2 linked regions of the Rattus norvegicus genome follow. The protein of the gene in region 2 purifies or fractionates together with the protein of the main gene of each other region. This does not show direct contact. Links are inferred from orthologs where the notes say so. Each region holds a gene or a part of one and is shown on either strand. Other genes may lie near its edges.

The links. The genes of interacting proteins can lie anywhere in the genome.
Region 1: the proteins of Asb9 (region 2) and Cul5 purify together in Homo sapiens (affinity purification with mass spectrometry; 6 studies listed by BioGRID and IntAct, counting the BioPlex papers as one, with this or other methods). This does not show direct contact. The link is inferred for Rattus norvegicus from reciprocal best matches to the Homo sapiens genes ASB9 and CUL5.

What each region holds. Positions count from the first base shown.
Region 1 is NC_086026.1:62,959,084-62,964,219, reverse strand, and holds the start of Cul5 (cullin-5), read left to right. Parts: upstream 1-1,791; coding exon 1,792-1,815; intron 1,816-5,136. UniProt on the Homo sapiens protein: Core component of multiple cullin-5-RING E3 ubiquitin-protein ligase complexes (ECS complexes, also named CRL5 complexes), which mediate the ubiquitination and subsequent proteasomal degradation of target proteins.
Region 2 is NC_086039.1:33,621,372-33,626,228, forward strand, and holds the start of Asb9 (ankyrin repeat and SOCS box protein 9), read right to left. Parts: upstream 2,987-4,857; coding exon 2,905-2,986; intron 1-2,904. UniProt on the Homo sapiens protein: Substrate-recognition component of a cullin-5-RING E3 ubiquitin-protein ligase complex (ECS complex, also named CRL5 complex), which mediates the ubiquitination and subsequent proteasomal degradation of target proteins.

The DNA.
Region 1 (5,136 bases), on a different chromosome or scaffold from region 2:
CACACCAAGTGTATGCCTGATGCCTATACACAGAGCCCCCTAAGTGCCAGAGTACCAGTGCTCTAAAACTGGGCCATTTCGCCAGTCTTTATATTTAATTTTTGCAAAAGCGCTGTGATTTAGATGTTTTAATACTAATTTCACCAACAAGAGAACTAAGGCTCATTGTGGTCAAGTAAAGCATTCAAGGTCTGAGAAGTAGATCTTAACTCATTTTAAGCATTGTGTGGCGCTAATTGGTCTGGAAGTCAGAGTGCTGAAATTAAAGGTATGTTCCACCACACCCTGCCCGAAGCAGAGATAAGGAAATTTTGGCCATTTCGGAGGGGAGCACATACCTATAATTCTACCAGTCATTCTGGAGGCAGAGAAAGGCAGATCTCTGTGAGTTCTAGGTCAACCTGGTCTACATAGAGAATTCTTGGCCTTCCAAGAATAACATAGAAAGACCGCTTCAAACAAAGCTACCTGGAATGCTTGGGGCAAAAGGAGATTTCAGGCTTAATATATGAAATAAAATCCTTCAGAGTAGAGCCTGAAAGTCTGCTTTTCTAATTAGCACCTCAGATTAAGATGAACAATGTATTAGCAATGTTTGAGAAGCTTTTGGTTTTTTTGTAGCCCTGGCTGTCCTGGAGCTTGCTCTGTAGATCAGGTTGCCCTCAATCTTACAGAGATCCTCCTGCCTCTGCTTTGAGTACTGGGATTAAAATTGTGGAACAGTGAGAGATGAGTTTCAAAGAAACAAGTTTGACACCAGGTGGTGGTTTCCCACACCTTTAATTCCAGCACTTGGGAGCCGAGGCACCTCCAGTATAGCCAGGGCTATATAGAGAAATTCTGTCAAAAACCAACCAACCAAAGAAACAAACAAACAAAACCCAAAAAGAACAGTGCTAGGAACTTGCGTAATGCATTAAATTACAGCTAAACGGAGATAACCCTGTATAAATTATATTGTCTTCCCTTGATCAGAGATTTGTGATCTGAAGCGATGCAATTTGGAGAAAATACTGTAGGGTGCTCTAGGATATGTCTTAAGGAGTCCAAGATTAATAATCACTTCTTGAACAAGCCGGGCATTCTTTTTTTAGCGGAATAACAGCAGGTTTGTGCATCAGTCACCAAACAAATAATATACCGGGCGCCTTCTCCATGTCAGCATTTGCGGAGGACAGCAGTAAAAAGCCTTCCAGGCTAATCTAATCCAGAGCTCTGAATAGCAATCCCGATCTGGGGCGAGCGCGTGAGGGCTGCTCCGGCTCCAGCCAGCAGAGGGCGCACTCCCACCCTCCGCGCGGCCTCGGGACCCAGTGGCTTGCTATCGCCTGGGTTGCTCCCGAGCACGCCCCCGCCCGCCGCGTCACGTGACACCGCCACGGAACCTGAGGTGCGGGCCCTAAGCCGAGCTAAAGTCGTTGCTGGCGGCCGGGGCGGGTGCAACCCCAGAGGCAGAACCGAAGACGAGTTGGGGAGGCCCGGGGAAGTCGATACTACCTCTTCCCGGTCAGGTCGGCTCCCTGTCCCTTCCCACCATTCGCCGCTCGCGTCTCTTTAAGCGTTTGCATGCGCTCTCTCGCGTGGGCAGGCCGGGGTGACCATGTAGCGGGAAAGCCCGAGGAAGCACGGGTGCCTGGGACGAGCTCAGCGCTGACGGCACGCCGCTCCGGCGTCCCCTGCATCCCTCGCTGCGGCCTGCGGGGTCCTGCTGGGAACCCCGGCCTCTCGAGGAGGCCTGGCCCCGAGAGCCGCCAAGTCTCGCCGCGTCTCGCGAGAGTCCAAGTTGAGAACATGGCGACGTCTAATCTGTTAAAGGTAAGCCCCTGACTGCAGCCCGGCTTCTGCTCGGTGACCGACGCGTTCAGCTCCTGGGGAAGGACCGGGCTCCGTGTGAGCAGCGAGATGTGAGAGTGTTTCGGGGTTGTCCACCGGAACGGGAGCCGGGGTGGCTGTTGCCCGAGCACACGGACGCCGGGCCCTGGCCTCGGGGTCCAGAGGATCTGGTGGTTCCTCCCGCCGGCTGATTGACTGACTCGGAGCGATGCTTTCAGGGGATCAACCCAGGCTGGAAGCGAGAGCAGTGTTGCTGGGCCCGCACCAACCCGCCATTGTGACTCTTGGGGTCCGTTTCTTCTGGATGGAGTGTCAAAGACATAACAGGGAAAAAAAATCCCAACAAAATGCTACCTAGCAGGTTTCAGTGGCTTAACTCCCAACCCCATTTTTTAATTTCTGTTCACACTCTGGTCTGCAGGAAATGCGAGCCAGACAGCAGTGCCTACCACTTCACCCCCTTTCTCCCTTTTCTGAATGTTACACCTTCCCTTCAGTTCTCTCACGCTTGACTTCCTATTTCCACCTCTCTTCTTTCTTTCCTTCCTTCTTTCTTTCTTTCTTTCTTTCTTTCTTTCTTTCTTTCTTTCTTTCTTTCTTTTTTTTCCTTGAGGAACTGTCTCCCAGCCCCGACCTCCCATGTAGGACATCAGGTGGCATCCGATAAAGTTCTACCATTCTTTTAGAGTGTAGAAGAGTTTTCATTAAAGAAAGCATTGAGAAGTTTTTAAATACCAGGAGAGGCTCAGGGCAGGCAGATTGATAAAAAATGAGGACTATGATAAAGACATGAGTCAAGTTTGTGTTTTTAGTAAGAATTCTGTCCTAAAGCACTAGCTGAAATGGGGCTAGTGATGACCTGAGGGGACATAAACATATGTTCTCAGGCTGTGTGAATGAATAATAATAATAATAGAAAAGGCTCCTCTCCCCTAAAAGGGGTCTCATTGACCCCATCTTGGCCAGAACTTTCGATGTAGCCCAACTGGCCTCGAACTCACAGAAATCCTTTGTCTGCACTGAGATTGAAGGCCTGCAACACCACTTGAGGGGTTCCTTAAAAGGTCTTCCTGAATTTCTATCTCTTGGGTTTTTGAGACAGGGTTTCTCTGTGTAGCCTTGGCTGTCCTTGGATTCTGTAGACCAGGGTGGCCTTGATCTCTGAGATCCTCTGCTGACCCTCCCCACTCCCAATAATGAAATTAAAGGCTTGTGCCACCATGCAGCAAGCCATGGGTTGAATTTCTGTCTAACAGCTGTATGACTTTGAGCTAGTTCCCTAACCTTAACAACTTCTTTGACCAAGTTTCTTCCTCCATTTTTGGTAGTACTTTTGAGAGATGAACTATGTAAAATGCCTAAAAACAGCGACTGGCACTTAATATCAGTACGCTAAAGCACTAGAAGAACCATTTGAAACTGGGCCTGGTGGTATTGGTCATTCCCAGTATGATGTGGGTCACTGAGGCAGGAGGACCTAGCCCAGACTAGGTTATGTAGTGAGTTGAGACCAGCTGAGGCTACATTATAGACTAATTCGCAGGAAAGATTTACTCTACACGGTTATGTTTTTCAAATTTTCTAATGTGTACATGAGTGCAGACATGCCAATAGAGGTCAAAAAAACAATTTTTTTGTCTTTTGTTTTTCAAGGTAGGGTTTTTCTGTGTAGCCCTGACTGACCTGGATCTCACCCTGAAGACCAGGTTGGCCTCAATAGGATCACTTGCCTCTGCCTCCCGAGTGCTAGGATTAAAGGCAAGCATCACTGATTGGCTAAAAGAACAACTTTTGGGAGTTTTCCCATTCTGTCTGGGTTCTGGAGCTCAAACTGAGGTTGTCCGGCTTACTGGCCCCTAGGGTTTTGGGGGTTTTTGGTCTTAATGTATTTTATTAATGTTTTGAGAATTTCATACATGCATATAGTGTACGTTCATCATGGTCACTCCCACTCCAACCTTAATTTGCTTAGTGTGTGTATATGTGGGAGTGTACTGTATGGTTGTTAGAGATCAGAGGACAGCTCTGTGTGTCAGTTCTCTCCCTCTATCCTTAGGTAGGTTCTGGAGATGAAACTCTGGTTGTCAGGAGACTCATACAATAAGCACTTCATCCTCGGAGCATCTCTCTGGACACCTCCTGTAGTCCTGTGCTTTCGCTTAGGATGCTCTCAAGACCCATACTAATGTACTCACACCTACATAAGCAGTGTTTTATGTTATTTCTTGAATTGTGTTTAAGAAATAATTGGGTACCTGGTTCTTTGTAAACTTTTGACCTGTTCATTACTTGGCTAACTATGAGGTACAACCTACAATTTCCATCCCAAGTCCTTAGGAAAGTCAATATTCTCCGTAGGACCTTTAGGAAAATAAACACAGTATTCCAGTCACTAGTGTTTGTTATCTTGAGGAAATTATAAATCTTTATCTGTAGTTTATACACATAAAATGGAAAAGCCTACCTGACTGGGCTAGGATTAAAGATCACTAGGATTTTTAAAGCTCTGCATTCAGATAGCACACACCTTTATTCCCACATTCTCGAAGCTAGGCAGGCTGATCTCTGAATCCAGGCCAGCCAGGGCTGTCATTAGAGCCTGTCTCAAAACCAGAAAGAAAAAGTACTGTAACTTCGTAACAATACATTGGAAAACTTGTAACTGACTCAGTGAAGTCAGATGCCAAATATGAATTTTCAAAAAGATGATTTTGTGAGATAATGACTGTGAGAAAAAGCAGATGTCCTAAATGAACAGTATTTATTTTTGAGGCAGAACTTTGTAGCTTTGGCTGGCCTCAGTACTCAACTATTTAGACCAGCTTAGCTCAGAGAGGTTTGTAGAGGGCTGGGATTCAGGTATTCCCCACCAGGCCTGGCCTATAGTCTGATATTAGGTAGCTAGTACTGTTGTAATATGAAGGACATAATAAACAGACATTTGATTCTGTTATCAATCTACATTTACCTATTTGAGTCATTGGAACTTTTGAGGGAGGAATTCCAAATACATTTTGAATAATAAAATGGGGAGGCTGAAGTTTGTCTTTGGAATATGTGAGGACCTGCCAGGGTCCATCTATGATGTAATTTATGAGATAAAGCAGAGCTGTTACACCTTGAGTAGATATAGGATTTACTGGGGAGTGGCCAAATTAGCATATTTTTTGGTTGGATTAGTATATTGACTTATTAGAGAAATGCCTTGGACTTTTGCAAGTAGATCTTACCAAAGAGAAAATTGTCATGTCCATCAGTCAGAAAGGGAAAATGTAGGCCAGATAAGACCAGTTTGAGTCATGA
Region 2 (4,857 bases):
GTAACATCAGAAATCCCTTCCTGTTTTTATGGTCTAACTTACTGACCCTCATGTACCAATTCTTGGCCATTGGAAAAATTTTCCATTCACTGAGTTTCAACCACAAGCTTTCTGCAGAACATTCTGAGGCTTCTCACACTCAACCTGTATTCATTTCCAACCTTAGCCCCATACCACCAGGCTATGTGGATTAGGCAATGTTACTAACAGTTTTATGTCAAAAGTAGAACCCCTGGAGAGCTAGAGAGACAGTCCGTTGATTTTTTTTAAGGCAGCTTGCCACATAAGCAAGAGGACATGAATTCAGATCCACAGCATCCCATCCCATTAAAAAAACTGTACCAATGTGTTTATAATACCAGCGCTAGGGAGACAGTTACAGGGAGGATCCCTGGCGCGCTATAGTCAGTCATAGTTACTGAATCAGCAAGCTCCAACTTCAGTGGGAGACCCTGTCTTACAAAATTATGGTGCAGAGAGATTCCAGATGACACACGACATTGACTTCTGACGTTCACATATATTCTACATACGGATGCACGTAGACACTCTCGCACAAGCATGTACATATAACAGAGAGAAATAAAACTCTGTACTCCCCCATTTCTCACCACACTAAGCCAGCTCTCCTTCTAGCTTCCCTCTTATCTAGCTCTTCTGGCTAACCTAATTTGAGGCTTAAAACAAACTTCACAATTTAAGATGGTTTCTCCCAATTTGCCTCAATATTGAAACAAATGGCACAATCCAATTTCTCTTGCCTTCAGAATGAAAGTCCTTACTCCATCATATCTGAAGCTTGACCCAGGTTACCAGCTGTACGCTTGGGTTGGCGCAGTGGTTCTTAAGGTATGGGGTCTGAAAATTCCAGTCAACCTCATGTAGAGGCTGCCTGAGGATGAAGATACCCAAGCTTCAACACAGTCTAGTCACTTCCTCAGCAGCCGTACACCTTCCTTTTAACAACGCCTCTAGGCGATACTGAGGCAAGTGAGAACCAATGGATTAAGTCTGTCGTTTTCTGCATAGCTCATGATTTATTCTAACTGGGGTACTATACTAATCTCCTCATACTCTTCACTATGGCCTCAGGACCATCAGTGACTTCCAGTTCCCCAACTCACAAAGCCTAAATCCCTTCACACAGATGTAAAAGCTTTACCATTCTGTGGTGATGGAGAAGGCTCAGTGAAAAACGTTCCTGCTTTGCAAGCATAAGGATCTGAGTTCGGATGCCCAACATTCATGGAAAAACACATGCATAGGCGCACACACCTTTACCCCCACTGCTAGAACAACAGAGGCACATCCTGGGGGCTCACTTGGCATCCAGTCTATCCCAAACAGTGTACTTCAGGTTCTGTGAAACACTGACCCTGTCTCAGAAAGCAAGGTAGAAAGCAGTAGAAGATACCCAATTTGACCTCTGGCCTCTACCTACACATTCAACTATAACATATGTGCTGACTTTCATGTACACACACACACACACACACATTTCACCATCCAGCTCCATCTCTCCAAATTAATTCTCATTAAATTGACTCCTCGAGATACTCTACATCCTAGCTGGAACAACCTGTCCACTTTCTAAGCAGCATACCAACCATCCAGGAAAAGGGGGCTAGTTCTCTCTCCACATACAAAAAAAATAAGAACACAAGACTTTGCTGCAAAATACCTATTTGGAACGCTACTGAATTATTGTTTCCAACAGTGATTGGATTGCTGCATTGAAATACTCAACAAGCCTGTTTTAAGTGATTCTTGATTCCAGTTTACCTTTCTACTATACTAAATGTGTACTCAATTCATGCTAATTAATTCAGTTTTGTCTGTGTATGGAAGCCCCACTCACCCTGTACATTTTGGGGGGGAAATGGGTAAGTAAAAAAACAAACAAAAAATGTGCAATCCTGTCACCTCAACCAGAGAGGGAAGGCATATCGCATTGTCTACTTTCTGTTGTTTTCCTTTTACAAAGCTGCACAGAAAGACATCATTAAGTCCTGGAGGCCTTTCGAACCTGTTTATTGTGCTTCTAATAGAAAAGTGTTGTGGGAAGCCTAACAGTGTTCTAAATGTGATACTGTCTCTTTGTATGCTTAGGCCCAGAATCCCTTCATCTGGAAACTGCTGAATGTTCCAGAAGAATGAGAGTGAATGAAAGTGGGAGAGTCTTTATTAGCCAATGCATCAGCCTAGAGGAAATCTTTGCATAGTTTTAAAAGTCTCATTTTTAAAGGCAATCAACCAGCCAATATCCTTGAGAAACTCAGATTAACTAAATATGAAATATCTAAAGGAACTTTAATTAAGAGAATTTTTTAGCAGCTACAGTGTTCCTATTAAGACTATGTGGTACACACAGAGAGAGAGAGAGACGGGAGGGGTGAAGGAGGGAAGAAGCAAGCAAAAGAGTGAGAGAGCGAGAGAACGAGAGGGAGAGAGAGAGAGAGAGAGAGAGAGAGAGAGAGAGAGAGAGAGAGAGAGAGAGCCCTGTAATCTCAGCACTTCAGAGGCTGAGACAAGAGGATAATGACTTATGACTTTAAGGTCAACCTGAACTACACAGGAGAGTGAAACAGAGCTACTTATAAGTAACTCTTAAACCTCTTATTTAATAAGTAATACACCTGACCCACAAAAGAGTGAGTGACTTCTTGGTGCAAAAGTTTTCACCACTAGAAAATGCTCTGTGATAATAAAATTTGTCTCACCTTTATGATGCCACAGACAAAGGTACTTTTTTGAATAATCACATAGAGGATGAAGACTAACAAACTCTGGACTTCTGTGGACACCCCACAGAAAGACCCACTGACAGAGTCCAGCTCCCTGCTCTCTCTTGAGCACATTAACCACCCTCCCAAGCACTCCCATTTCCCATCTTCTATGACTCACCCCCCATCAATGGGTTTGAAAGAAATCTGAGGTGAGGAGAGCCTCCTGGCTTGTCACTCCTGCCCCCTTGTTCGCCATCCATGTTTATCTTCCTAGGCCAGCAAACTCTTATGTTCCACTTCGGTTGCTCAGGAAAACTCAAATGCCATGCTTCTGGTGCCCCTGGGAAATTCCAGCTCTGTGGTTGGTCGAACTGCACACGTCCTGGTCCAGGCAGTCTGCAGCAGAGAACAACACAGGCAGGGTAATGTGAGCACTACCTGTGGTCAAACAGATTCTCATGCAGACAGCCACATACACACACACACACACACACACACACCACCACCACCACCACCACCACCACCACCACCACCACCACCACCACCACCACCACACTCCACCTAGCGTGCTGGAGACTGGACAAAGTACACAACAGCCCCCCGAGTCTCAAGTCTGAAAAGTTGCTGATACCACGCCCTTTCCTATAACTGAGACCAATCAAGGAGCAAGCCTTAGCGTTTATCAGGAAGGAAATCCACACTATGTAACTTTTGGAGAATGGAGGCAGCCGGGTTGTTATATAGGAAGAAGTTGTTACAGCAGCAGAGATCTGTTTGCTACTTTGGGGACTAAGACAAGCCTCAGCATCCAGGAGCTGAGAAGGCTGCTTTTGCAGAAGCTCAGAGAAACTGCTCGTACAGGAACATGCACAGCCCAGCCTGGCCATCTGCACATGTGTTTTCAATTTTGCTGGGAGTGTCTTATGGAAAAATGTGTCTGTATGTTACAAAAAGTGCAAGGGGTAGAGGTGGGAGAGGGATAGAAAAAAATCGTTTTCCAATGGAGGTGGGGCTGGGGGAGCATCCTGCAAGTTAATTCCTTGCCCATTTTTGTCCTTCCTGAACACTTTTGGATTTAACTTACAAATAAATGCTGAATGGTTGCATGGAGAAGAATGTTCGACAGGGTCACCACAGGTGTGAGAGAGCTGCTATCTTTCCTTATGAAGGCTACTGCTTTGTTAAGGTACCCTCAGTCTGCCTCGGTGAATGGTATTTCAATATGGGTGACTTCTTTCCATTTTCCACCAGACTCGCAGGTGCTGGTTTCAGTCAATCACTCATGTTGCCACCATCCATGGGTTTGAAAGGAGCCTGGTGGGACCAGAGCCTCCTGGTCTCAACAGCTTGCTGCTTTTCCTGCCAGCCCCCCCTCCCAGTCTATTCACCATCCAAGGCACTCTCCTACACCAAGAAACTTCATGCTCCACTTCACTTGCTCAGGAAAGACTCCCACTTTTCCTCTCTTGCAGGTTGAAGAGAATGCCTTATCCTCTGAAGCCTCAGAGCTGCTCTCAAGCCCCAGCTCCCTTCCAAACGCTGTAGATTTGTTTCTCTTTGGGATGTTTGGCTTCTCAATTGAAACATTTATAACTATTTTTTCAACCGCTTTGCGTGCAAGCAAAGGTGTGCTTGCTTGCTTTGTTCAGACTGAGTATGACTGACTGTGAGGGTGGCCTTGACTTCACTATATAGCCAGGCTAGCCTCAAACTTGTTGCAAACGTGCCTCCATTCCCAGAGGGCTAAGATTACACGTGTGCACTGACACATCTTACAGTGCCTTTCATAATTTTAACGCATTCCTTTGTGCATACACACTTACCCATGCACAGTTTTACTCCAGCTTAGTTAGATTAACATCCCGTCTAATAGTTTTTACACTTAGTCTGGAACGCTTTCCACTGTCTCACATGTAACTATACTAATTTCTTTATTCTCCACTGTATTTCACATTGTGCCAAAAGCAATTCCTTGCCCGGAAGTAGTGGTACACACCTTTAATCCTAGCACTCCAGAAGGAGAAGCAGGAGGATCTCCTTGAGTTTGAGGCCAGCCTGTTCTACAGAGTGAGTGCAGGACCACCAAGGCTCTACAAAGAAACCTAGTTAAAAAAAAAAAAACAATCAAAAA